3 linked regions of the Callithrix jacchus genome follow. The protein of the gene in region 2 purifies or fractionates together with the protein of the main gene of each other region. This does not show direct contact. Links are inferred from orthologs where the notes say so. Each region holds a gene or a part of one and is shown on either strand. Other genes may lie near its edges.

Region 1 (9,486 bases), on a different chromosome or scaffold from region 2:
GATGACCCTGCTAAGAGAAATGGATGTTGAGCTGGAACTTAGGGAGGCCAGAGCTATGGAGCATGAGCCAGGGCAATCCTCCACCTCCCTAAGAAGGAGGGCTAGGTAGCTGGGTGCGGTGGCTCACACCTGTAATCCCAGCTCTTTGGGGGGCCGAGGCGGGCGGATCACCTGAGGTCGGGAGTTCCTGACCAGCCTGACAAACATGGAGAAACCCTGTATCTACTAAAAATACAAAATTAGCTGGGCATGGTGCTGCATGCCTATAATCCCAGCTACTTGGGAGGCTGAGGCAGGAGAATTGCTTGAACCCGGGAGGCAGAGGTTGCGGTGAGCCAAGATCCTGCCATTGCACTCCAGTCTGGGCAATAAGAGCGAAACTCCGCCTCAAAAACAAAAAAGGAAGGCTGGGTCCTACTGGGTACATATACTGACACCTGTGTGTGGGTACCTAGACAAGAAAAAGACTCTACTAAACCTCTACCTATCAGAAAGGCCTGGCCCAAGGCTGCCATTCCTGAGAGCACTTGAGATCTGCTATTCAGGGTTTTCATATCTTGTCAATGCCTTGGCTCTACCAGTCCACTCATCCTAAGGGTTGTGAGGGCGAGCTGCAAAATCATTTTCCCTCCAGGGCACCATTTTGGCTTCCCTCAGGAAGCCAAAATCAATGTAGGGAGAACATGTCCCTGCAAGGAGCTGCAAGCCTGGCATCCCAACTCCCGAGCTATGGAAACAGCACTGTTTGAGTATCTGGAGCCCCAGACCACAGACACTACTGCTTGGGGAGGGTTCTATCACTCAGGCCAGACCAGGGCAAACACTGTTCATTGCTATGACTCTGTCCTTGCCAGTAGAACCCAGAGAAAGCAGAGAGCCTACCCTGAAGGAATGAACCATGTCTGTTCCCAGGCACAATCCTGTTTCTCTTTGTAATACTCCATTTCCCATTCTCCCTTGAAGTGAGAGGAGCATGTGACTCAGTTCTGGCCAACAGGACTTAAAGGAAAGGGTCCTGGGAAAGCAGGCCACTTTCGTGATAAAGTGGGGGAGCCTCAAGGCCTTCACTGAGCTGTGGCAGCCACCTTGTGGTAAGGAGGAAACAATATGCTAAGGATGGGACAGTGGAAGGATGGAAATCTAGATCCCCAATGATCAAACAACCATGACACCCACTTCCCAATTTCTTGTCAGGTTGGGGAAAAATAAACCATTCTTTGAGGTCCTACATGTTACTTATAGCAGAATGTGTTCTTGATTGTGGTGCTTTGAAAGGATGACAGAAGTGTTGTAAAGGGAAGCTCTCTGCTGTGCAGCACGCTTGGGTCCCTTTGCCTTTGGGGCTTCACCATTAACTGCAAACCTGTTCTCAGTCTTCATGTCTATACGTTCGGCCTGCAAATCTGCCAGTTGCTATAGGGTGGCTTAGGCAACTGCAGGCTGCATCTGGCTGTCCTATGTCACCCGGTTTCTGGTTCCTCAGCTTAGTGTCCAGATTCTGAGATAGAACCAGCTTGAAATCCCTTTGACAACAGTCTAAGGTGAAGAGAAAGACCCACTGGGCAAAAACGTTGAACCACGACTCTTCCCGAGCAACATGGCAGAGCTTGGGCTTTGGGCCAACCTCCTGGCATGGGCCGGTGAGCACTTCTCGTCTCATGCTTCCTCTGGGGAATCTGTTTACTCCAGCTTTGCCCCCTGTCCCCTACCCAGGCCTCACCTCCCACACCTGCAAAGACACCAGCAGGCCAAAGAATACCACTCAAGAGGCTTTCTCCATTTTATTTCTTTGGGAAAGGAAAACAAAGTCTTTCCATCACATATGGTAGAGATATATATTTATATATATTTGTATATAATTTCTTTTGTGGTTGGACGTCCCAAAGCTGAGTCTGTTCATATTTTTTTTTCTTACTAATGCCTTCTCTTCTCCCTGCCCCTGTGGCCTAGGCCCAGGTTCTAGGGCAGGTGCAGTGAGGGGTAAATGGAATGGGCAGTGGTTGCCAGGGTGGCCTCCCACCCAGCTCTGAGAACTGGTGAGGACCACCTAGAAGGGCTGTGCAGAGGGTTAGAGGCCACACAGAGGGGCACTCATGTTTTTGTGGGGGATGCACAGCTCATTAAACAGTCACCAGTCATGGGAGGAGGCTGGTCAGGGGCTGGGGGACTTGCTCACAGTAGTTGCCAGCTCTCTCCACCCTGCCCCCCCAAACTCAGTCTTGGGGGTGGGAGAAAGAGAGAGTGAAAAAAGAGAAATATAAGGGCTGAGGGCCAAGCCTCCTCCAATTTTTATTGCTGGTGAATTAGAAATTTGCTTTTCCCTTCCTGTCTTGGGGAGATGGACTCTGAGAGGGCCCCAAGAGAAGGAACTGACATTGGCTGACCTAACCCCTCATGCCAGGCCTACCCTGGGCAGATGCTGAGCCACCTCAGGGTGCCAGGAACCTCTCAGGTCAGCCTTGTTCTTCAAGGGCAATCACGTCTAACCCTCCCCCTGCCCCTGAAACAAGGGCCTGCGGCTCAGACTTGGGCCAGTGGAGCTGGGAAGTGGGCAGTGCACCAAAGGTCAAGCAGAATTTTCTACTGGAAGAAAAGGTGAGACTCTGGGGGAGGCTGCCTAGGAAGATGATATGCTGAGCATGAAAGCAGAAAGAGGCTGGGGAATATAGCGCGGGAAGACATCGCAGACACTCGTCTGACCTCAGAAACCGGGGGGGGAGAGTGCCTGAGAGGCAGGTGGCACTTAATAGCTGTATTAGAGCCGGACAGTGGCCCTGGGTGTGGGTCAGTCAAGCAGATGGGGCTGTTGCCCTGCGGGATCCTGGCCAGAAGGGTGAGGGTAGAGTCGAGAAGCCGTCAGGCAACCCTTCCCAAGAACAGGAGGGCAGATCTTCCCTGGGTGCTGGACTTCCAGCCCCAGCCCTCCCCTCCCGCAACACACACATAGGGACACACACTCACGACCAGGCCAGGCACTGAGGCCTGAGCCCAAGAGACCTTGGTGGGGGAGGGGCTGGGCAGGTAGCCCTCTCAACCACAGGCAGGCCATCTGCTCCCACTTGTCCTGCCAATCTACCCAGGGAAGGAGAGGACTACAGGGAGGAGAGAGGTCAGGAGCCCAGGGTCTGTCAGTTTCAGCAAACCCTGTGCAGGCCCCTTCAGGCTCCTTTGGCCTAGGAGGTGAACACAGTGAGCATCACTAGACACCGGGGGGCCAACAGTAGCAGCCCAGAACCCCAGAAGGACTGGGGCACCTCATCACTGCAGGCCTGCTGCCTCTATCTCCATCAAGGGGGTGCCAAGAAAGGGAGCATGACTACCCCACCACCTAGAATCACCCTCACTTGCCCTGCCCTCCCCCTATTCCCTTCTTTTAGGAGGGTCCGAGTGGGATGCCACAGGGGCAGTGCTGGAGCTGGGAGAGCAAGTGAGGAGGGAGGAACCTGGTCACAGCTGCTTAGAGAACCTCTTTGGTCTGGGGATATGGGGTCTACGGGGAAAAGAGGTGGAGGGGAGGGGACACTGGGGACTCTGGCCTTTTGACAGGGCATTTGTCATAAGGCCGAGTGCCCAGGTCGATCAGATTTCTGTAGATTCAATGCGCTCGAGGCGGGAGGGGGTCCATGCCTTCTTCTCCTCGCCATGTTGGGGAGTGGGCGTGCTCGCACCCCCTGCGGCCCCACGCTCCCGCAGCCGGCGCTCCAGCTGCTGGTTGCGCTGGTACATCTCTACGTAGCTCAGCTGCAGCTGCTTCTGGTATTCGATCACCTTCTCCTTCTCCTCCAGCCACACGCGGCGTTCCTCTGCGAAGCTGGCACCCTGGCGCTCCCGGGCCCGCCGCTCGGCCGCCAGCTCGGCTTGCAGCCGCCCCACCTCCCGCCGCAGGGCCCGCGTCCCACTCTCCCCGCCGGCCTCCGCCTCCCCGTCCACGGAAACTAAGGAGGCGGCGGCGGCCACCCCGGCCTGACGGCGCATCTTAGCCTCGTCGCTTTCGCAGGTGGCCAGAGCATCCTGTGGCTCAGCCGGGTCCACGGGGGTCAGCGCCGGCTTGATGCAGGCGGCAGGCAGCTCTCCCTCGCCCAGCTCCAGGCTGGCCTGCTTGCTGCTGAAGGAGTCCCGCAGGCTGAGCAGCTGCTCCTCCTTCTCCCGCAGCGAGGCCCGGCCCTCCCGCAGCTGCGAGCGCAGCCCCACGATCTCACTCAATTTCTGCGACACATCCGCCTGCGAGTCCTTCAGCTGCTGCTTCAGGAGGGAGATCTCGCCAGCCTTCTGGCACACCTGGGCAGGAACAGGTGAGAGGAAAAGCCGGGTCAAGGCAGAGCTCTGCTCACCCCAACCCAGCCACCAGATCTGGAGCCAGGGACACCAAGATTCCCGGAGCAGGCTCAGCCCTCATCAGCAGCAATGCCTCATTCCCTGCCTGGACTCAGGATGAACATGTCTCACCCAGCCCGGGGATGGCCTCCGGTCCTCACAGACACTCCCAATTGCTTTTTGTCCCCCCTGCTCCTTTCATCGCCTGTTATGATAGTGAGGGGCAACTGCTCTGGGGTTCCCCAGAGGGGCAGAAGGGAGGCAGAGAGGGAGGCCCAGATCTCCAGCCCGCACCTCCCACTTAGTTTCCTCCATCCGGGGCAGGAAGTCGGCCTGCTCCTTCTGGCAGGCGGCCACCTTGTCCTCCAGCTCTTCCCGCTGCCGCATCAGCCGGGCCGCCTCCTCCTGCAGCTGCTTCTTGTCCTGCTGCAGCCGCAACACCTGCAGCTGTAGGCCCTGCTGGGCACGCTGGGCACGGCGGGCCACCTGCTGTAGCTTCCCGCTGCAGCCCTGCCGCAGCTCGGCCAGCTCCCGCTCCCACGCCTTCTGCCGCTCCTCCAGCACCTGGGCCACTGCCGCCTCGCTCTGCTCCAGGCTGCGCCGCAGAGCTGCCACCTCCTGCTCCTTCTCCCACAGCCGCTCCTCCAGCTCCTGGATGAGTGCACTGGGCGAGGGCGGTGAGCAGGCCGCAAATGGCAGGCCTCCACCTCCACCCTCCCCAGAGCCCAGGTGGCCTGGCCGCCCCATGGATGATGACGACCCGCTCTTGCTGGAGGCCCGTCCACTATCAGAGGTCCCCAGGTCCTGGTAGCCCGACCCCCCACCACTGCTGCCACCACTGCCACTACCATAGCTGGCAGTGCCAATGCGGTTGATGTGGCTGGTGGAGGCACTGAGGGGCGCCAGGTGCTGGCTATAGCTGGAGCTGTAGGTGGGCAGGCTGGTGAGGGAGTTCCGGCCTGAGTCTGAGAGGCCGCTCCCACTCCCACCCGCTGGAGTCATGGTCCGACACTTGTCCAGTCCGCCTTTGAGGCCACCAGGGCCCTGTCGTCCCTCAGGAGTCCCATTGGTCTGCGGGGGGCACAAGTTCTGCATGGAGTGGAAATTCTTGGGTACGACAGGCTTGAAGGCTGATGGCCGGACTAGTGGCTCTGAGCACTGCAGGAAAGGCAGGGTGTCAGGATGAGGCCTTGACCTTGGCCCAGGCTTTTCCCTCTGGCAGAGACTTGGCCAGCCCCACCTCCCACCCCTACTGGATCTCCATCCTGAGGTCCCCCAAGTGGGGTTCCACCTCTTGGCTCCCTGAAGCCAGATCTCTGTCCTGGATCCACCCAACAGACTTGGCCCCAGGGCCCTAGTCCATGACTCCTCAGCCCAGCCTCCATCCTGCCCCCACAACCCAACCTCCAAGAAGGACCCCTTTGCCTTCCTCTCTGCGTTGCCTCCCACCCCCAGAAAAAGGCTGTGAGGGTCTCAGGCCCTGGGACTGACCTGGTCTAGCTTGCCAGAGGTGGCCAGGAGCTTAGGTGGGTGGCCGGGCTCACGATACTGCGGTGGGGCTTTGTCGCTGCCACCACTGCTGCTGCTGCCACCACTGCTGCCAACTACGTTGCCACAGACATCGGTGTGGTCACTGCCCCGCAGCTCGCCATTGAGGTAGAGGGAGTTGGCGAGAGCCTTGTCCTCTGAGGGGTAGCGGCCTGGCCTCTCCCTGCTGGCCCCACTGCTGCTGCCTCGGGGGCCAGGGAAACTGCCCTGGCTGCCCCCACCCCCTGTACGGGTACCCACGCTCTTCATGGCAAACTCCTGGGCATGGGCCACCCCACTGCCCACGCTGCCCATGGCCAGGCGGGGATCCGGGGGTCCAAGCTCAGAGGGCCGTGGGGCAAAGGCCAAGAGAGGATCCCGCCCTGGGTCAGCTCGCACAGGCAGTGTCTCCAGCTTCGCCATGACTAAGCCAGGAGGGCACTGTGGGCACAGGTGGGAAGGTAGAAATAGGTCAGATCCTACTCCTACTCCCACCACCCCAGCCAAGTCAACCCAGCACCCCTCTGCCCCTCAGTGTCCCCTTCCCTACAATGGGTAAAAGGGCTCCCAGGCATCCAAGGTGAAGGAACAGGGCTGGGATAAAAGAGGGAACTTGGAAATGGGGCTGCCTATTGCCCACCTGATTAAGCCCAACCCCCAGGGCTCCATGCACGAAGCCCCCAGCACAGCTCAGCTCAGCTCTGCATTCCATTCGTAAACTCCTGCCTTAGCCCCACCATGCCCATGAGCTTCCCACGCTCAGTGGTCCTCTTCTCAACTCTTTGCTGTAACCCCAGAATTTTGGGATTATCTATCCTGGGTCTGGGCCCTTAATATCCCAACCTCATGGGCTGGAGAAATGGGGTTGGAAAGGGAGAACAGTGCCTGAATCCAACAGGGAACCACCTCAAAAGTTAGGGGAGGGAGAGAAAGATACCCCTATCCAAAAATTGAGGGTGGGGGTCCTTCACAGCCCCCTAACCTAAGGAGTGGCAGTCAGGGCAGAAGTGGAAGCTCACTACCAGCGCAGGCTTCTCTCCTTGCCTTTCCAAGGGGGTGAGGGGCCGACGGATCCTCAAGCCTGGGACCCTCCGAGGCCCGGTCTGCAGGGGCCATGTGCCTCACTCTCGCAGTCAGGGCTCGGCCCAAACCAGCTGCGCGACTTTGGAGGGGAGGACTGAGCCATCCTGGACTGCGGTTTTCTCCTCTGCGAAATGGGAGAAATGAAGGACCTACCTTGCGGTGCTGCTGCGTGCCAGGCGCCCCGAGGCGACGGGCGCTGGAGGAAATGGGGGACTTGGGGAGGGTGGTTGGGCGGCGCGCATCTGGGTCGCGGGTGGGCGCCGCTAAGAGTACGCCCCGTCCCCCACGGACGGACGGGGGCAGCGGCAGCAGCAGGTGGCAGGACCGCCCTCCCGGAGGTCTTCCCAGCTCGGCCGCACCAGGGCCCTGACAAGAGAGGGCCCCCTTCCCGGGATCAGTCCTCCGCAGAGGTCTCAGGGCTGGCTGAGGCCGGGGCAGAGGAGGCAGTGGCGCCAGCTGCTGGCGTTGACGGAGTCTCCCTCGGGGCCTGCGTTTCTCACAGGTGGGCGGGGGGAGAGGCGGGGTCGCGCACCCTGCAGTGCCCCCAAGGATCCGGCGCATGCCAAACCCGCTAAGAATTCACTGCCACCAGGAAGACTTCCTGGATTACTCCCTCTCCCGCCCCCTGTGGACCTTGACCCTGCTCAGTTTACTGTGAAGCCCTCTGAGCCCTTCTTGTGGGTGCGGGTCCCGCACCACCAAGGCCGGCCCACAGGCGCAGGGGGAGCCAGGCTTTGGGTTACTTGTGCTCAGGTAGGCCCTGCTTCCTCGTTCCTTTGTCTCAGGTTTGCACCTGGGAACACCTGCCCCAGAGATCTGCATAATGAAGCCGGGCAGGGGCACCAGGCAGCGTCTGCCTCGGATTAGACTCTCAAATAAGTGTGTGGGAAATGGGAGGGGATGCCCTTCAGACCTTTTCCTGCTACTCCCTCCATAAACCAGGCAGGGAGCCCTCCTTCCCTTCAAGGTTAAGGGGTCCACGTGGCACCCTGTGGCCCCACAGACTGTCTTCTACCTAGCTGCCCAGTTCTAATGCTGTGTCCTTGCCCCAGACCAAGGGAACCTGACAAAGCTATTGTCCTTCAGGAGTCTTCTGGCCCCCACACCAGGAATGAGAGTCCTAGGTTGCTGGAAAGTTCACTACCAAGCCTGAGCACTATCTCTGTAGAATTCCATTCTCAGCGTCTGTCCCCGCAAGTGTGGAGAAGAGCACTTTGCCACCATCCTCCTTTGGGCCCGTCTGTCCCCATAAGCAAAGGCCAGGACTAGGGTGAGGCCAGAGAGCCACAGAGGGCACAAGTGAAGGGTGCAATCAGCCAGCACACAGCCCTGAGGGTGACAGTCTCCTTCCCTTGGTGCCTTGGGTGCTTCTCTGGCCTCACTCTAGTCCCCGCTCTGCCTCCACTCCCCAGCATACTCCAGCCCACTATGCCTCAGCCCTGCAACCCCCCCTACCCTAAATATGCCCTCTTTCCCTTGCCATCTCTGAGTGCAATGTAGGCAGCAGCTGGGGATTGGGAGGATGAAAGCTGAAAGGCCTCAAGCTTCAAACCAGTAGGAAAGCCTGGGCAGGGTTTGGGAAAGAAGTATGGGCAAAATTTCATACAGATGAGGTCAGGCGGTAGGGACAAGGGAGGACTCTGGACTGGAGACCACGGTGGTGTGTGACACTTTTAACATAGGGGAGACTGCTTGGGGAAAAGAGGTGTTTTGGGAAACAACAGAGGAAGATATTTCTCAAGCACTAGATGGAAGCCAGGTGAGATAGCTCATGCCTGTAAGCCCAGCATTTTCGGAGGCCAAAGTGAGCAGATAACTTGAGGCCCAAGAGTTCAAAAACAGCCTGGGCAACTTGGTGAAACCCTGTTTCTACTAAAAATACAAAAATTAGCTGGGCATGGTGTGCACTCCTGTAATCCCAGATACTTAGGAGGCTGAGACACAAGAATCCCTTGAACCCTGGAGGCGGAGGTTGCAGTGAGCTGTGATTGCGCCATTGCACTCCAATCTGGGCGAAAAAAAAAAAAAAGAAAGCACTAGATGGAGAGAGATTGAGATCATCTGTTTTCAAGGGTGCTGGGGGTGGGGCCCAGCATTGAGCCAGGGAGCAAAGGCCCAGAAGTCTGGGAGGCACTCTGGGAGCAGGAAAATGGCTGAAAGAAGGATCACCCGAAGGCCAAGATTGAGAGGGTTCAAGAATGTGGGGACAGTTTCCAGTGTTAAAAATAACAGGGCAAGGTAACACTGGGATTGAAGAGTATGTTGGGGATTTGGGAGCTGGAGACATCACTGATATCTATGTCAGAATGGTTTCTGAAAAGTGGTACAAGGCCAGATGCAGTGGCTCACATCTATAATCCCAGCCCTTTGGGAGGCCGAAGCAGGAAGATCACTTGACATCACGAATTTGAGACCAGCTTGGCCAACGTGGTGAAACCCTATCTCTATGAAAAATACAAAAAATTAGCTGGGCATGGTGCTCACCTATAATCCCAGCTACTCAGGAGGCTGAGGTGGGAGAATCACTGGAACCCGGGAGGCAGAGGTTGCCGTCAGCCGAGA
Region 2 (9,586 bases):
TTAAGCTTTACTTTAATGTCACAAGAAAAGAAAATGTTCATGGCAATTCATAAAATAATATTTCATGTAAACATGTTTACATGAAAAGGAAGGCAATTAATACTGTCTTCTCTCTTTTTTTTTTTAACAGCACCATGAGAACTGAATATTAACATAAGCAACTTTGTAACCTTAAGATTCTGGGAGAGAGTCCTTGTTTGTAGGTGTCTGGTTAAAAGGAGGAAGAAGGTCAGGTGCCATGGCTGATGCCTATAATCCCAGCACTTTGGGAGGCTGAGGCAGGTGGATCACCTGAGGTCAGGAGTTTGAGATCAGCCTTGCCAACATGGAGAAACCCTGTCTCTACTAAAAGCACAAAATTAGCCGGGCGTGGTGGTGCATGCCTGTAATCCCAGTTACTTAGGAGGCTGAGGCAGGAGAATCACTTGAACCCAGGTGGCGGAGGTTGCAGTGAGCCTAGATGGCATCATTTGCAGTCCAGCCTGGGCAAAAAGACCAAAACTCCATCTCAAAAAAAAAAAAAAAAAAAAAAAAAGAAAGAAAGAGGAAGAAGGACAGTGAGAGCAAGAAAGGCTAGCCCCGCTTGGGAGATGGCTAGGAGAATGAAGACGGCTGCAGATACATTGACTGGGGTGATATCCGTGTATCAACCTAACAGCAGCCCACGGCCTTCCATTTTTGTTTTCTTTTTCTTCCTGTTTCATTTTGCAGTAAAATCTGAAAAGAAATCAATTAAAAAAAACAAAAACAAAAATAAAATAACCCAAAACACCTCTCTCTGCCTTCCCAAATAAACATCAGGTAGATATACACAAGTAGGGCACAAATACACAACAAACATATTTTTAAAGTCACAAATAAAAATAAGAGAGCATGGTAGGGTGTAGGAAAACTATCATCACATACTACGTTTAGGAGTGCAAATTGGTCGAATCGCTTCTGAGGAATATTTTGGTAACATGAATCAAAAGCTTTTTAAGAACGCGTATTTTTATCTGAAGGAAATAATTGGACAGGTGTATACAATGGATGTAGGCCGTGTTTATGCAATGTTATATGTCATAACAACAAAAAAGAAAGACTTCCTTAAAAAATAGAGGAACAGTTAAATTACGGCCTATTCAACTGATGGAACACTAGTAGCTGTTAAAATGATGATCTAAATTTCAGTCGATTAACATTAAAATGTGCTCATAGTATAATTGGAAGTAAAAATGGCACGAAACATATCTTCCATGTTGTATGTGGGTGAGTGTGCTCATGTCTCCCTAAGAAAGTCTGGAAGGACATATGCTAACATGAAAATACCAATATGTTTCCTTTTTCTGGGTGATATCTATGAGTAATCCTTACCTCTTTATTGTTTTCCACATTGTAAAATTGTCTGTAATGACCATACATGACTGTTATAGTTTGTTTTTGGACCTCAGGTGCAGAGAATTAAGAATTAACTTCTTGGCCAGGCAAGGTGGCTCACACCTGTAATCGCAGCACTTTGGGAGGCTGAGGTGGGCAGATCACTTGAGGTCAGGAGTTTGAGACCAGCCTGACCCACATGGTGAAACTTCGTCTCTACTAAAAAATACAAAAATTAGCCAGGTATGGTGGCAGGCACCTGCAGTCCCAGCTACTCAGGAGGCTGAGGCAGGAGAATTGCTTGATCCTGGGAGGCAGAGGTTGCAGTGAGCCGAGATCAAGCCCCCGCACTCCAGCCTGGGTGACAAGAGTGAGACTCTGTCTTAAAATACAAACAAACAATAAAGCTTGTACAAGGTGGGGAGACAAACCCCACCTGGGTAAAGTGAAGACCTTTACCCAGAAGTCTGTAAGAACACAGGGGTGTCACATGCCAGGCCACGCCACTGTCCAGGGACGAACTGCAAATTGTTCACCTTCTCACTTGATGTCAGGGGCAGCGATAAGAATACTGGTTAATTTGTGCGTTTGTCGTTGGAATATTTATTTGGGTTATAACTCTCAGTGAGATTACAACTACTGGACTTTTAGTCTTAGAATAGTGCATCACCAAGAGTGGCCACTAACGGATGTGACGCCAACCAGAAGAAACCACCATCTTGGCATCTGTGTGTTCGTTTCCTTCAGTGCCACTACAAAGTACCACCAACTTGGTGGCTTAAACAACAGAAGTGTAGTTCTGGAGGTCAGAAATCCAAAATCAAAGTGTCAGCAGGGTTTGTTCCCTCTGATGGCTGTGAGACAGAACCTGTTCCATGCTTCTTTGCCAGCTTCTGGTGGCCTTGGGTGCGCCTTGGTTTGCAGAAGGCCACCTTTCCCTGGTGTCTTCACATGGTTTTCTCTATGTACATGTTTGTCTTGGTCCAAACAAACTGCTTTTTATAAGAACAGCAGTCATTTTGGATTAGGGTTCACTCTAGAGACCCAACTCGATGATCTCTGTAGAGACTCTACCACCACATAATCTTGAATCATCTTGGTGTGGTGGAAAGAACACGGGCTTTGCAATCATACCCGAGTTTGAATCCTGGCTTCACCACTTACTGGTGAGCAGTAACTGCCTTGAGAAAGTCATGTTATTCTTCAGGACTTGTTTTCTCATCCACATAATGGGGATGCCATGTTGCTGTGAAGATGAGAGATACTCTAGAACGCGCTGGATAAGTGGAGGCTGTCACTACCTGTGAGCAGAGGGCCTTTGCTTTTCAAGGTGAACAGTCTATGAATAAATACATCTGTAAGCTACTCTAATGGAGAGATTCTTAGACGACAAGGATTTCATCTGTGAACCACGTCAGTTGGCATCTGTACCGGAGTCCTTCCTGCCTACATGTGATCACTTGTTTGGAGCCAGATGTAATTTACAGGTTACTTTTAGGTGAAGCCTGTATAAAACCATTTTACAGCATTCCAACCTGAATATGACATTCGTTGACCAATGTGTGCCATACTGGGAGCCGGGGGGTGGGGGGGGGAGGGAGGGGAAGGGTGCAGCCTTCTAGATATGATGACCAGCAATGACTTCTATTCCCACACGTTTATAATCTCAATTCTGCCTCACTCCGATAATCTTCTAGGTTGATCTGAACTGAAGACAAGGACATATATCTTGAGACACTATCATACAAGTTACTTCCATGACCGGTGATAAAAATTCGACTCAAATTTAACTTAGTATTAAAGGTTGCAAATACGTGCTGCGTTAGAAGCGAAACGTTGGTGAATGGGGTGGGGGACAGGAAGGAGAGACCCACCAGCAGAGAGGAAGGAGTTAGTTGTATAGGTGGAAGTTTGAGCTTGGGAGGAACCAGGTAGCGACCTCTCCTCTGAATAAGGGGCGCTCTGGGCCACTTCCTCTTTCTTCAGAACAATTAAGTTGACCGTGGACTTTAATCACATTAGCAGGACAATTTTGAAACAATAATCCGAAAGAACTTTTGCCAGTGACTGCAGCGTTTTGGTATCATGGAGATCAGACCGAAGCAAGCTATTTGCCTGATTACTTTTTGACCAATTTATTTTTGATTTAGTCAGGCTTCTTTCCAAGTCTGTGCTGATCCGAATGGTTACCTTAGTATATCAATGTCCTAGTAACCGTAGCAAGGACATTTTGTTGGAAGTCATTTAAAGGGGGTGTCTTTGAGTCATGTAGCATAGACAGTGGCATCTACTGAGTTTTTTACACTTAATATTGTTCATAAGATTTTATCTGTTGCTACCATATTTGTGAAGTTTATAAAAAATGGGCTATGAACACTATCACAAGGTGGCAAAATCAAGCTTAGAAATCAATCGATTAGTGACTGCTGTAAAATAGTATATACACACACACATAGTTTTTAGTTATACATTTATTAAATACCATTACATTACAAAACACAATTTTTAGCTGGTGGCTCTCTACTGATTACATAGCAGCCAGCACAGCATACTTGGGTTTTCAAGCCTCGGGAGCTCACCCAGCAATACGTAGCCAGGCAGAAGGGGTAGACAGAATAAAAATCAGCGAAAGCTAGGATATGAAGAGTTTTGATGGTTAAGGACAAGCGGGCAAATTAAGACTCGAAACCGAGAAGGTGTATGGAAAAGAAAACCACGGAAGTGGACAAGGACACAGTAACAGCACAAGGGGATTCATCTAAGGGGCATTCCGATGGAGCAGGCAGGCTGCACCCAGAAAGGTGGGGAGGGGTTGGAAGCAGATGGGCAGACACCAGCGAGCGTGCACAGCCTGAAAAAGTTTTCATGATGGCTCCAGCCTAATTTCCCAACGCTGGTCTCCGGCGCCACAAAACCCGAGCAGTCCGACCGGAGCCGGGTGCCAGCCGCAGGGCCGCCGTGGCTGGCGCAACGTCCGGAATTCCTGCGATGTCTGGGGCGCGGCGGCGGCGGCTCCTCCCCGCCCCCACCGCGGCCTCCGCCGGCTTTTTCCGGCGAGGGGACCCGCGAGCCCTTCGAAGAACCGGCTCCACGCGCGGACAGCCGCGGCCGGCGCGCTCCCCCGGGAGCGAGGCGAGCGCCGTGCCCGGACCGCGGTGAGAGCCCTCCAGGCACTGGCGAGCGGGGTGGGCTTCCCGGGTCCCCACCCAAAGGCCGCGGCTTCCCGACCCCTCCCCCGCCCGGGGCCGCCCGTCCCCCCCGCCCTGCACCGGCACAGGCGGGGCTGCGGGCGCCGGCGCGGAAGCGCGGAGCGCTGGGGCTGCGGAGGCGGCGGCGCGGGAGGCCGCGCGCGCTCCCCGGGCCGCAGTCGGCGCGGGCGCGGCGGACGCGGGGCGGGGCGAGGCGGCCGGCGCTCGCGCACAGGCCGGGCCGCCGCCTCGCCCCCCTGCCTCTGCCCCTTCCCTCCCTCGGCCCAGCCGTCCTCCTCCTTTCCCCTCCCCCGGGCGAATCACGCGCCCTCCTCTGACACTCGTAGCGGGCCCGAGCTCCGAATTTATCCTTCACGTGACCTGAGGGGGGTTGGGTGGTTGGCTGGGGACGGAGGGGGAGACGGAAAGGAGGGAACGGAATCTGCCGTTACCCGAGCAACAGGCCCCGCCTGCCGGCTCGGGGCCGGGGGGCGGGAGAAGGACGTCAGCACGTCAGCCGGGGTTTTGCGTTTTGATTGACAGTTGCTATAGCGACCGGGTCGGTCCGTCGCCATTTTGTTGGTTGGTTTTTTTTTAAACCCTTTCGCTTCCCGCCCGAATAATAATAAAAAGCCCCATTGGAGTGAGGCGGGGGTGGCGGCGGCAATCGCGGCGGGGGTATCCGGGGAGACTGCTGCCGTCGCTGCTGCTGATCGTGGCCCAGGTCGGGCTCAGGGAGCGGACACCCCGAGAGGGGGGTGCGGGCGCCGCCGCCGCCGCTTCTGCTGCTGCTGTTCCTGCTGCTGCTGTTGGTGCCGCTGCCGCCGCCGGCGAGCGGGCGGGACCGGTGTGAGTGCGAGTGTGTGTGCGAGGGAGCGTGTGCGAGAGCGAGTGTGCGCGCGGGTGTGCGGGTGTGTGCGAGTGTCTGTCTGTCTGTGCGGGGACTCGGGGGCGGGCGGTTCGGGCTCTCCTGGCGGAGGAGCCGCCGCCGCCGCCCGGGCCCCGGCGCTTCTCGCTGCGCAGGTTCGGAGCGCGCGCCATTTTGTGAGATTTACAAAATCCTCTTCGGGAAGAAGCCGCCTGCAGCAGCCGCCGTTCGGCGCCCGGCCTCGTCGCCGCCGCCCTCCACGCCGGGCCGGGCCGCGCGGCCCCGCCGCCGGGACTCGGGGCCCGGGGACTGCGGTATTTGCCGGGGAGGGGGCTGTCGCCTCCCCGGCCCCGGGCGCCGTTGGAACCGCGAGCCGAGGAGAGACTGAGCAGGCTGCGGCGCGGCCAGAAGCCGGAGCGCCGGGGGCGGAGAGAGGCGGCCGGGGCGGCGCTGGCTGCGGAGGCCGCGGCGGGAGCGGGAGCGCGGCGCGGGAGCCCGAGGCTGAGACTCACCGGAGGAAGCGGCGCGAGCGCCCCGCCATCGTCCCGGTGAGTGTCCGGCCCGGCCGCGGCCCCGCCCGGCCCGGCGCGCGGCTCCTCCGGCGGCCCGCAGCCGGGTCCGCGCCGAGGCCGGCCGGGCGGAGGGAGGGACCTGCCATTTTAGGAGGAGGCGCCGCGGGCCCGGGGCTGGCTGCCGAGGGAGGGAGCCCCAGGCCCGGTCCCGGAGGAGCGGCGGGCGAGAGCGGAGGGAAAGTTGCGGAGGGTGGGAGCGGGGGCCGCGGCCTCCGGGGAGCCGGGGCTTGGGGGGCCGCAGACAGCGCCAGACCTTCTCTGGCCGCCCCAGCGAAGGGGTGGAGGTTGTCTTCCTCCTCCTCCTCCTCTTCCTCCTCATCCTCTTCCCCCAGCTCCTCCCTCGTCCCTCCTCTCGGTCCCCACCAGTGTGGGAACCGCCGGGGTGCTTCGCAAGGACAATGCACGGGTTAAGAAAATGGGGCCGGCTGCTGGGTGGGCGAGGACAGCGGGGCCGGGCCGGGCCGGGCCGGGCGCCGGCGAAGGTCGGGAGCCGCTGCCTCGGCGGCCCTGGGGGTCCGCGCCGCAGCGAGGGGCACTCGCTGGCCTCCGAAGTTGGGCGGGGAGCGCGAGTGTCCCCGGCGGCTCGGGGTGGAGGAGGGATGACCTGCCCTGCAGCCGGGGGAGTTGGTGGCTGAGGAGAGGTGAATTAGGATGGATACCTGTGCATCACCACAAAACTTCACGAGTCTATTTATAGGCACAAACCCACTCTCGCTTCGGAGCCACCAAAGCTGCTGAGTAGCTCGGCACTTGGCGAAAGGCTCCTCCCTAATCTGAAATAGTTAAAAATGGTAAAATTAGTGAGTCAGTGACTCCGGCTTTTTGCTTGTGCCTTTCGCCCAACCCTAGGTGACACGAATCCTGTAATCTAGGCGCAGCGCATGAATGCCATTACCATTTGGTTCTTGAATTCCACCCAAATTGTCAGAAAATACACCTTAGAACATTGTTTTCACACCCAGTTGAAGATTGGGACGAAGAGTGCCAGATGCTGTTGTCAGGGTTTTCAGTGGATTGACGAGCTTGCCCAACCAGTAGGAACTGTTCCCATTTTACAGATGAGGAGACTAAGCCTAGAGAAGGGCACTGACTGGTCTAAGGTCATACAGCTGGGAATCCAGGAGCCAGGAAGCTGTAGCCAGTCTGGACTTGTAAACCACTAGGGTGTAACTCATTATTAGAAATACTGGCAAATTTTGAAGTGATTCGTGTGTAATGACTCAGGATTGTAACCTAGAGATTGTATCCCCTACGGTTTTTATCATGGAAAAGTAAGGTAATGGTAGTGAGTCCTCTCACTGAAACTTTTCAGTCCTTTTCTCTCCCCCAAAAAACAATGCAGTCAATTTTTGAAAGAAAGGAATTAAAAGTATTATTCCTTGGTGTGTTTTGTACTTCACACTTAATTTTGATGATAGTCATTTTCTGAGTATTGATGAATCATAAAGTTTCGTGTCAAGTTATGTTTAGTTATTTTATTCTGTGAATGCTTAAGGGTTCTTCTGTGACCCCTTTATACTTTGTGTCCAAAATGTTAATGAATATTAACACTTTGATTCTGGGGTGTTTTAGTAATTCAGTGGAATTGCCTTTAGCTTTGTTTTCTTAAATTTCTTATATTTCTTAAATTTCTTATATGTTGATGAGTTACTTTAGGAGATTATTGTTTTCAAGTAGATTTTTAAAAACGTGAGGCTAGAACTAAAGTTTCATGTGCTGAGGTTTTAAACTGCAGAAGATTTTTTCAAAGCAACTTGTTATGAACAAAGCTTACTTGATTATAGTTTTTTTTTCTTTACATGTACTTGAGGTATCCCAGTGCAGGATTTTCCCTGGCATAGCAGTGGTGTTTATGGTAGCTGTCCAAATTTATTTAGACTTAAAACCATGCCAGAAAGTTAAGGATTCCTGTCAATGTCTACACACAGTTCTCTTGTAAGACTAGGTGTAAAAAGTTTATTTTTACCTCGAGAGGCAGACGTTCAGAGATTATTATAGGAGGAAGAGCCTTCCCTTCTGTTTGCACCATGAGGGCACACTCGTTTTTACCTGGTGGGTGTTGAAAAAGGGTTTGAAGGAATAGACTTGAATGAATGGGATGATTGGTAGGGGTGGGAAATGGACTAAGTGATCTAGTGAGATCCGTTATTGTTAGGAATTTGAGATCTAAGTATAAGATCATCTCTTAAACCTTTTAAAGATATTTTGGTGAGACCCGTTAGAAACTTAACACATTATTTTGTACAAGGGATTTAAAAACTAGTAAGTCCAGGTTTTTAGAGGCACTAACGATAACCGAAAACGTTCCATGTTAGTGCAATGTCTTGTTAGGGAATGTGGATAGTAAAAACGACCATTTGTTAAAAAATTTTTTTCCCCTCTAAAATATTGTCTGATGTTTGCTCCTTAGTGTTATTTACGAGTTACTGTTAGGGAGAGTGAATGTTTATGACTTAAAGATATGGGGGTGGAGAGGCCTAGGTAACTGCAACAATGTATTTAAGCAATTTACCTTGGGTTTTTATAGTGCTATGAATATTTATCTGCCAGAGGAAACTTCAGGATACCTTGTTACAAACATAAGAGGGTAACCTTTGGCTTGCGTTTTGTTTTGTAACTATACAAATAAAGTGTTAATTTGGATTCAGTCTTGGTTTTCACTTGAAAACCATTTTTTTTTAAAGAAATAGCTTAGAAATTTAGACTGCCCTGAGGTGTTTTTGTGTGCCTGTTTATGGTTGACAAGTATCTAGTTATGAGAAGAAAATGTGGACAGAATTAACTATTATAGGCGAGAAGGGAATTGCCTTATATATGCCATTAAACACAGACTGGTAGAAGATTGGACTTCACTTGTGACTTTCTTGGTACTTGTGATTAGGTGTCTGCCAGTTTGTCTTTGCTTTGGCCTTAGCTTTTCTTGTATTTCAGAGGCCTTTCACGTTTCCTATACATACATAGGAAACAGTTTCACTGCCCCCCAGAAGAAGCTTATCTCAACCCAGCAAAACCCAAAAACTTCCAGAAAGTCTTTATCAAGAACTTAGTGCTTCATCTCCAAAGTTGTGTTAGTCTTATTTCGTAGTGTTCATAAGCAGTTATTTAAGCTGAACTAAGAAGCTTTACTCTCTGTTGAGTGTTTTGGTGATTTTACCTCCATTTATGTGTGTCTATTTTAGATTTAGGAGTAAAGATATTACTTGAAACTTTTTTTTTTTTTTGAGACGGAGTTTCGCTCTTGTTACCTGGGCTGGAGTGCAATGGCGTGATCTCGGCTCACCGCAACCTCCGTCTCCAGGGTTCAGGCAATTCTCCTGCCTCAGCCTTTCGAGTAGCTGGGATTACACCGTGCCCAGCTAAGTTTTTATGTTTTTAGTAGAGACGGGGTTTCACCAAGTTGACCAGGATGGTCTCCATCTCTTGACCTCGTGATCCACCCGCCTCGGCCTCCCAAAGTGCTGGGATTACAGGCTTGAGCCACCGCGCCTGGCCTACTTGAAACTATTGTATGTGTTTCCTGAAACTTGATACTAACAGTTTGTCCTGTGAAAGTGAGTTGTGTGACTAGTAGAATAGCACCTTATGTGTATATGTAGTAGTGG
Region 3 (9,486 bases), on a different chromosome or scaffold from region 2:
TCTCTACTAAAAATACAAAAATTAGCTGGGCGTGCTGACAGGTACCTGTAATCTCAGCAACTTGGGAAGCTGAGGCAGGAGAATCACTTGAACCTAGGAGGCAGAGGTTGCAGTGAGATGAGATCATGCCATTGCCCTTCAGCCCGGGCAACAGAACAAGACTCCATCTCAAAAAAAAAAAAAAAAAAAGAAAGTTTCAACCACTGCCAGAAGTATCAAGAATGTCACATTGCCTCTTAGGAAGACAAAGGTGTGGGCAGTTGCCCCAGCTCCTCTCAGGTCTCTGAACATGTTTTAGTCAATGCTTCCTTCATTTGCCTTAATCTGCTGATACTTAATACTTATTTTAAGAGTAAGAACAGTGACTTCTCCATGATTAGGTCCCCCCTGGAAGGACCCACCTGAAATGCACTTGGCTTATGCCACTCAGATCTGACTGGCCTGGTGAAGGATGACCAAGACGCATAAATATCTATGGTTGATTCAATATTTGCTGTGTGTTAGGCCCTAATTTCTGGCTGTCCATCCTCATTCCTCTTGACTGCCCTGTGCTTAGGGCATGTCCTGACTCCCCGCAGCTCTGTTTTATGTTTTGTGAGTGAGGAGGTGAAGTGACATGCCAGGCTGATGTGGGGACAGGGGAAGGCTAGCATAGGGACCCAGGCCTCTCTGACCTCCCTCCCAGTCTCCATTTGCATTCCTTCCTCTGCCCCACAGTCTTGTCCACCTGCCCTTTCTTAGAAAAGTGTTTTTTTTTTTTTTTTTTTTGGAGAGAGAGTGTTGCTCTGTCGCCCAGGCTAGAGTGCAGTGGTGTGATCTCAGCTCACTGTAATCTCTGCCTCCCAGGTTCAAGCAATTATCCTGCCTCAGCCTCCAAAGTAGGTGGGATTACAGGTGCTCACCACCACGCCTGGCTAATTTTTGTATTTTTAGTAGAGATAGAGTTTCGCCATGTTGGCCAGGCTGGTCTCGAACTCCTGACCTCAGGTGATCCACCCGCCTCAGGCTCCCAAAGTGCTGGGATTACAGGCATGAGCCACTGCACCTGGCCTTTGTTTTTTTTTTTTTTGAGACCGAGTTTTGCTCTTGTCCCCCAGGCTGGCGTGCAATGGCATGGTCTCGGCTCACTGCAACCTCTGCCTCCCAGGTTCAAATGATTCTCCTGCCTTAGCCTCCCAAGTAATTGGGACTACTGGCATGCAGCGCCATGCCCAGCTAATTATTTGTATTTTTGGTAGAGACAGGGTTTCCTCATGTTGCCCAGGCTGGTCTTGAACTCCTAACCTCAAGTGATCTGCCCGCCTTGGCCTCGGATTACAGATGTGAGCCACCGCGTCCGGCCAAGAAGACGGATTCTTCTATCTTTTCTCTTTCCACAGCCAGGAGTATATCCTAAAGAAATGATACAAATGTCGATAAAATTATGCCCAATGCTGTTTGCTGGTTTGCTTTGCGACCTCTAAATGAAAGAACTTAGCTGCTCAGTAGGAAGGAAATGGTATGATACAAGTATTAAGCAGCCACTGAAATGTTTGCGAAAGTATATAGTGATGTTTCTTACTGTTAAATGGACAAAGCTAGCTGTGAAATTATGTCTGCAGAATCTAAATAATTTCATAGAATATCTGGAAGATAATTTTCCAAAATGGTAATAGTAGTTGTCTCTGGCTGATGTGTGATTGTTTTTCTTGCTTCTTTATACTTTCCTGTATTTTGTGAATTTTCTGTAATGAGGGTGTAGGACTTCTAGGATGAGGCGATAAAAAAAGGCAGCAGAAGAGAAAACAGCAGCTGTCAGGTGAAGGTGGGCTAGCACGGAGGCTCAGAAGGTACCAGTGGGTGGCAGAAGTGACCACTTAGGGTATTATCTCCATGTACTCTCTCCTCTGCCCCACAGGCCTGCTGAGGAGGAACTGAAGACGAAGAACATGGATGATAACACCCCTGCCATGGGTAAGCAGTTGGCCAGCTTTCGGAGTTTTAGCTTGTATTTACCATGTCTTTCCTCCTGTTTTTCTTTCTATAAAAATGAAAAAGGCTGGGTTCAGTGGCTTATGCCTGTAATCCAGCACTTTGGGAGGCCAAGGCAGGAGGACTGCTTGAGGCCAGGAGTTTGAGACCAGCCTGGGCAACATAGTGAGACCTCATCTCTACAAAAGAAGAAAAAAATAGACAGGCTTACTGGCATGCATTTGTAGTCCCTGCTACTTGGGAGGCTGAGGTGGGAGGATCATTTGAGCCCAGGAGGTTGATGCTGTAGTGAGCCATGATTGTGCCACTGCACCCCAGCCTGGGACACAGCGAGACCCTATTGAAAAAAAAATGAAAGGGCACTCTCTGCCTTATATTGTCATGGAAAGCTTCAGAGCAAAACTGCCAGTTGGCTAGGATAGCAGATTTTCTTAACAAACCCATACCTACTTATATGCCTGTCTTGTCTAATGCTGCTCTTCTCTTCCCTCTAGCAGAGCACCCTGATGTTGAGGAGTCAGTGGGTCCCCTGGTGGCCCCCACCCCTCTCCGTCCATGGCCCCAGATGACACTTCAGGTAAGTGGGTGCTTGCAGCCTTGGAGCGGACAGCCCAATAGGAGGCTCATAGTGTGACTATTGCTGGGCTGGGTGGTGGGGTCCACTAGCTGTGGGTCCTCCCTGGGTTGGAGGGAGGGCACAAAACTCAGAACCTGATGGGGGAGGGGGAGAATGTAGTTACTCACCTGGGCTTGTAGAAATGTCATTTGTTAATTTAGCAAATATTTATGGAGTGCTTGCTCTGTGCTAATCATTGTTACAGACATGGAAAAATTCTCTTCAAGGGGGCTTATGTGTTAGTAGGGTGAGTCGTGATAAAATAATAGTTAGAATGTGTGGCACTTTAGGTGATGATAAGTGCTAAGGAAAAATATAAAGGGATAGGGGGTGGGTGAGACTGTGTGTGTGTGTGTGTGTGTTGTGGGGGGTTGGAACTTTAGATTGGGTGGTCTGGGAAGGCTTTAGTGATCTGAGCAAAGATCTGAGGAAGGTGAGAGAGTGAGCCATGTGGATAATGTGGATAACTAAGGGAAGAGCATCCCAGGTGAGTGTGAAGTTCTTGAGGTGAGGCCATGACTGGCGTGTGTGAAGGACAGTGTAGAAGCCAGTGTGGCGGGGGCAGAACAGGGAAGGGGGAGAGTGGTATGGGGTGAGGGCAGAGAGGTGGCTGAGGACAGATCAGGCGGCGCCTCATAGGCCATGGTAAGGACTTTGACTTTGACTCCAAGTGAGGGGGAGCCGCAAGAGTGTTGTAGGCAGAGGAGGGACTTGATCTGATTTAGGATTTAACAGGCTCCCTCTGGCTGCTGCATGGAAAATAGACTGTGGAGGGTGGAAACAGGCAAGCAGTGAGGGGGAGGCCACTGCAGGGTCCAGGCAAGCGTGATGGTAGGTAGGGGAGGTGGAGACATTTTGGAGGGGTGTGTGTGTGTGTGTGTGTGTGTGTGTGTGTGAACTTTTTAATTATAAAAGTTTTCAAATGTATATAAAAGTAAAATACTATAATGAACCTACATATACTATCCCCCAGCTTTAGTGAATATCAAAACTTACTTAAAATTCTTATTTTATCTATACCCCGTCTCCTCCCATTCCCTCTGGAATTATTTTGGAAAACACCCAGACATCATCCCATCCATAAATACTTCTGTTTTTATCTCAGATAATTTTTTTTTTTTTCTTTTTGAGACAGAGTCTTTCCCTGTCACTCAGGCTGGAGTGCAGTGGCGCGATCTCGGCTCACTGCAACCTCTGCCTCCTGGGTTCAAGTGAGCACATCTGGCTAATTTTTGTATTTTTAGTAGAGATAGGATCTGCCGCTTTGGCCTCCCAAAGTGCTGGGATTACAGGTGTGAGCCATCAAGCCCGGCCACAAAATTAAGAATTCTTAAAAATCCCCACAATACTATCATCACACCTCAGAAAATAAATGGTAATTCCTTAGTGTCATCAAGTATTTGGTTAGTGTTCAGGTTTCCTTCTCTCATAAATGTTTTAGGATCCAAACAAGGTTGACACGTTGGATTTGATTGATATGTCTCTTTAGATTTTTAAAATCTCCCCCGCTTTCTTTATTTGCAATTTGTTGGTTAAAGAAACTTTGCTTGTCCTGTAGAATTTTTCAGTCTGGGTCTGGCTGATTACATCTAGGTGGAAATATGTTTCTTACTCCATTTTTATTAATGTATTAATTCTATTAATGTAATCTTATTTAATTTATCAAATTATTAATGTTATTAAATGAATATTTAATCTTTTAACTAGAATTAACTCTATTTAGTTCTATTATTCCCACTTCCTTTATTAGCTAGAATTTGTCTCTAAAGAAAAACTTTCCCATATCAGCTATTTGGCTATCTTGAGATACAGTTTTTACAGAAACATCAGTGTAAATATTTAATTTTTTCCATTTTATTTATCAGTTTTCAGAGGAAGTACTACTCCAAAGGTGACCAGTGAACGGATTTTTGGTTTTGTGTCATTATAAATTCTATGAATTCTAAACATAGTTGATGAGTTTTAGTCCATTGCACTTATTTGTTTGTTTTTTTGATGCTTAAATTAAACTATCCCTGGCTAGTAGGAGCTTATTGAGATGGGTTTCTCTGTCCTTTTGACAATATGTTCTAGGCTCATCCTGTACTCTTCCTGTTCCCAGCCTGGAAACAGCCATTTCTTTATTTCTTTTTTGTTTGTTTGAGACAGAGTCTTGCTCTGTTGGCCAGGCTGGAATGCAGTGTTGTGATCTTGGTTCACTGCAACCTCTGCCTCCGGGGTTCAAGCTATTCTCCTGTCTCAGTCTCTTAAGTAGCTGGGGTTACAGGCACATGCCACCACACTTGTCTGATTTTGTATTTTTAGTAGAGATAGGGTTTTGCCATGTTGGCTAGGCTGGTCTTGAACTCCTTATCTGCCTGGCGATTCACCCGCCTCAGCCTTTCAGAGTGCTGGGATTTCGGGAGTGAGCCACAGTGCTTGGCCAGAAACAGTCATTTCTCTAAGGAGCACTGTTTCCTTTCAGTAGAGAGTGGCATTCAGAGGCCAAGGTTTGAGGGCTTGGCATGCTTGCTGCTACTAGATTGGTCATTGTTTCTAGGCCCTTTCAAAAGATGGAGCTAGGAAATAATTTTTTTTAAAAGAAAAGATGATGCATCATGGATTCATAGGTAATCCTGGCTATGTTTTGGGTGTTTTTCTGCATTTTATTTTTACTTTTAAAATTTTTTTTATTTATAATTTTTGAGGGGACATAGTAGTTATATATATTTATGGAGATGTTTTGATATAGGCATGCAGTGCATAATAATCACATCATGGAGAATGAGGTACGCATCTCCTCAAGCATTTACCCTTTGTGTTACAAACAACCCACTTATACTCCTTTTTTATTGAGACAGTCTCTCTCTGTCACTCAGGGTGGAGTGCAGTGGCACAGTCTCAGGTCACTGCAACCTCTGCCTCCTGGGTTCAAGTGATTCTCCTGCCTCAGCCTCCTGAGTAGCTGGGATTACAGATGTATACCACTTTGCCCAGCTAATTTTTGTATTTTTGGTAGAGACGGGGTTTCACCATGTTGACCAGGCTAGTCTCAATCCTGGCCTCATGTGATCCAACCACCTTGGCCTCCCAAAGTGCTTGGATTAAAGGTGTGAGCCACCGCGCCTGGCCACTTATACTTTCAGTTATTTTAACTGGCTCTATTTTGAAGGTAAACCAGCAGTATTTAGTGATGATCATTCACCAGATATTCACACCCACCAAATTCCTCAGCTTTATAATCTGCAAGAAGCACCGTTTCACTGCATCCAATTGTGTTATTTTACCATAAATGAAAGAGTCTTTGGAGTCTAGATAGTGATGGAGGGCGCTTTAGGGCATTTTTATGTAGAAACCCCTGCGGGGCTAGCTGTGGGCTGTCATACTTCTTACTGTCTCTGCTTGTTCCATCGCCTCCTTTATTTCATTCCCTTGCTTTTTCTCCCCCCCATCTCCCCCACCCTGGCCATGGCTCCAGGTTTCTGACGTTCCGATGACTGGCAACCCTCCGGAAGAAGGTGACATCCCCAGAAGCAGTCCACCTGTGGCTTTTACAGAGGTCCTCCAGGCACCGGCCATCAGGATTCCCCCCTCCTCCCCTCTCTGTGGCCTGGGTGGCTCCCCCAGAGACCAGGCCTCAGGGCCCGATTCGAGCGAAGGGGCCACTGGGCCTTTCCTGGAGCCCAGCCAGCAGCAGGCAGAGGCCACGTGGGGAGTATTGAGCGAGAATGGAGGGGGGCTGGAGGCTGTGAGTGGGTCGGAGGAGCTGCTTGGTGAGGACACAATCGACCAGGAGCTGGAGCAGCTCTACCTGTCTCACCTGAGCCGCCTACGGGCTGCTGTGGCTGCAGGTGGGGTAGAGGGTGTTGGGGAGGGCTCCACAGATGGGGGGATGTCCCCCAGCCATCCCCTGGGCATACTGACAGACCGTGACCTGATCTTGAAGTGGCCCAGCCCTGAGCGGGCCCTGAACAGCGCCCTGGCTGAGGAGATCACGCTGCACTATGCCCGGCTGGGGCGTGGCGTGGAGCTCATCAAGGACACCGAAGACCCTGATGATGAGGGGGAGGGTGAAGAGGGGCTCTCTGTCACACCCTCCAGCCCAGAAGGGGACAGCCCCAAGGAATCGCCTCCGGAAATCCTCTCCGGGGCCCGTTCTGTGGTAGCCACTATGGGAGATGTGTGGCTCCCATGGGTAGAGGGCTCGGGATGTGACAGCCCTGTGGTTCTGAGTACAGAGTGTCAGTTCACTGGGGATCCTGAGAAAGGGATGGGTAAGGACAACAGCTCTTTGCACATGAATAGGGTGATAGCTGGGGTGACTGAGTCCCTGGGGGAGTCCGGGACAGAAGCCCAGATGGAGGTAACCAGTGAGTGGGCAGGAAGCTTGGATCCCATATCTGGCAAGGAGCCAGCTGCTCCCATCCTTTTGCAGGGGCAAAATCCCACCCTCCTTGGTCCCTTTGAGGCTGAAGTCTGTCTCTCTAGCATGGCCAGGCCTCATGTGAGCTCCCAGGATGAAAAGGATGCAGACCTAAGCCTTGAACCCCCAAAGAGTTCTCCTGCCATAGCAGCCCCTGCAGAATGTGTGTGTGTACTGCCGCCTCAGCTCCGGGGACCCTTGACCCAGACTCTGGGGGTCCTGGCTGGGCTAGTGGTGGTCCCTGTGGCTCTTAACAGTGGTGTGTCCCTCCTGGTGCTTGCGCTGTGCCTCTCTCTGGCTTGGTTCTCGTAGGCTCTGCTTGTGGAATCAGCAGAGGCTTGAGATGGGATACATGGCCTATGCAGCAAGGGGACCTGGGTCCTTTACTTCTGAGAATGCTCAACTGAAAGAGAGGCCTTCCCATCCCCAAGCTCTTTAGTCAACACAGGGATCCCTGTGGTGACACCAGTGGAGACGAGGGGATGGGTGGATGGTGTGAGTGAGGGGAACTTTTAGAGTGGAACTGGGCATGTCGTCCCCCTACCCCCCAAGCCTGTATTTATTTTTGTATAATTCTCTGGATGAGGGAGAGTGGTCGTGAGCTGGTCTTGGGGCACAATTACCCAGAGATATATTTATTAACAGCCAACCTGTGCAACCTGCTGGAGCTTTATTTTTAATTTAATTTATATAGAGTACTTATTATTATATGCTACAATAGAGCTCTATGAGAAACATGTCTTGTGGTGTAGTGTTCTCCTGTTTGGGCATGAGTGTGCAGGGTGGTCACTTTCTGCGGGAGGATCACAGTAGAGAGTTGGGTGTGGGACATAGTCACCTGCTGCTGCTTCAACACGTCTGTCCTTGAAGATCTGTGTCTGTTCATCTCGTGGTCCTAATCCATATGGTTCTTTGTCTTTTCCATGTTCTGCCTATGGGGCCCTGCAGTATCTATTTGGATGGTGGTGGTAGGAGCCAGGGAGGAAGAGCAGCAGCCACAAGAGGGTTTGGTGTCAGTCACATGGTTGCAGTGGTGGCTGTGGTCTGCTGTGGATGTGGGGACATCAGTTGTGAATCAGCCGCAAGGTTTTGAGGTTACTGAAAAAATAGCCTTTGACACCAGCAGGGGGACCCCTTAGCCCCCGAGATAGGGAAGGCCTCAGAAAGGAAAGAGGAGTTAAGGCACTGTGAAACGTGTAGCACAGTTGCTGTCAGCAGACATCACATTTCTACTAAAAACAGGAAGCCCAGAAACTTTGAAGGAAAGAGATACACTGATTGCATGCGAATAAACTGCTCAACAAAATAAATTTATTTATTTACTTCCCTTTACAGAAAAACTTATTGAAAGAAATATTTACATGAGCTTTCTTCAGTTTTTCTCCAATGCCTTTCTAAAATAGCCCCAATCAGATTTTTTTTACCCAACCATTTCAGCAAAACTGCTGAGGATAATCACATCATTATCGCCATGGTTAAGTCTCAGACCTCATGTTACTTGGACTATTGGCAGCATTTGACATAGTTGTTGATCATCTCTACCTTGCAACCCTTTCTTCACTTGGTTTCCAAGACACCACACTCCCTTCATTTCCCTTCTTCCTCACTGGCCACTGTGCAAAGCTGTCATTTTGTCTTGAAACTGTTTTGTGGGTTCAGTGCAAATCCAATCAGGATTCCAGTAGATTTTTGCGTGTGTATAGATCATGACACATTAATTCTTAAATTTATGTAGAAGTGGCAAGACTAGCCAGGACACTGATACTTATTGTATGGTGTATCAATTCAGATGGTATGATATTTTTGCAAGAATAGACAAATAGACCAATAAAAGACTAGTGATCTCAGAAACAGACCCACTTATGTGTACACACAGAACTGGTGACCAAGGAGTGTTTTGGAACAGTGGGGGAGCGATTGGACTTTCAATAAATAGAACAATTGGTTACCCACATTGAAAAATACGAACTTGGATCCCTCCCTTACAACACAAATAAAAATAATTCTAGGTGGATTTAAAGCCTAAATGTGAAGGGCAAAACCAAAGAGCTTTAGGAATACAGTAAGGCAAGGCCAGGCACCGTGGTTCAATCCTGTTATCTCAGCACTTTGGGAGGCCGAGGTGGGTGGATCACCTGAGGTCAGGAGTTCAAGACCAGCCCTATCTGTACTAAAAATACAAAAATTAGCTGGGCATAGTGGTGGTGGCTGCCTGTAGTCCCAGCTACTCAGAGGCTGAAGCAGGACAATCACTGGAACCCGGGGGGCAGAGGTGCAGTGAGCTGAGATGGCGCCCCGGCCTTCCAGCCTGGGTGACAGAGGGAGACTCCATCTCAAAAAAAAAAGTACAATAAGGCAGTACATTCATATACTCATGGTAGTAAAACTTTTCTTTGTTATGACAAAGAAACAACCATAAATGAAAATTATAAAACATCCAGTGACCTTAAAATTAGGACTGTCCATTGATCAAAAAACACTATAAAGAGAATGAAAA

The links.
Region 1: the proteins of DYRK1A (region 2) and LZTS3 purify together in Homo sapiens (affinity purification with mass spectrometry; 3 studies listed by BioGRID and IntAct, with this or other methods). This does not show direct contact. The link is inferred for Callithrix jacchus from reciprocal best matches to the Homo sapiens genes DYRK1A and LZTS3.
Region 3: the proteins of DYRK1A (region 2) and PPP1R3F purify together in Homo sapiens (affinity purification with mass spectrometry; 3 studies listed by BioGRID and IntAct, with this or other methods). This does not show direct contact. The link is inferred for Callithrix jacchus from reciprocal best matches to the Homo sapiens genes DYRK1A and PPP1R3F.

Annotation. Positions count from the first base shown.
Region 1 is NC_133506.1:10,676,804-10,686,289, forward strand, and holds the end of LZTS3 (leucine zipper putative tumor suppressor 3), read right to left. Parts: intron 7,049-9,486; coding exon 6,886-7,048; exon of another isoform or gene 6,824-6,885; intron 6,283-6,823; coding exon 5,806-6,282; intron 5,473-5,805; coding exon 4,609-5,472; intron 4,279-4,608; coding exon 3,580-4,278; 3' UTR 1,759-3,579; downstream 1-1,758. UniProt on the Homo sapiens protein: May be involved in promoting the maturation of dendritic spines, probably via regulating SIPA1L1 levels at the postsynaptic density of synapses.
Region 2 is NC_133522.1:43,335,257-43,344,842, forward strand, and holds the start of DYRK1A (dual specificity tyrosine-phosphorylation-regulated kinase 1A), read left to right. Parts: upstream 1-4,398; 5' UTR 4,399-4,511; intron 4,512-9,586. UniProt on the Homo sapiens protein: Dual-specificity kinase which possesses both serine/threonine and tyrosine kinase activities. Exhibits a substrate preference for proline at position P+1 and arginine at position P-3.
Region 3 is NC_133524.1:49,819,354-49,828,839, forward strand, and holds the end of PPP1R3F (protein phosphatase 1 regulatory subunit 3F), read left to right. Parts: intron 1-1,897; coding exon 1,898-1,953; intron 1,954-2,465; coding exon 2,466-2,548; intron 2,549-6,044; coding exon 6,045-7,301; 3' UTR 7,302-8,299; downstream 8,300-9,486.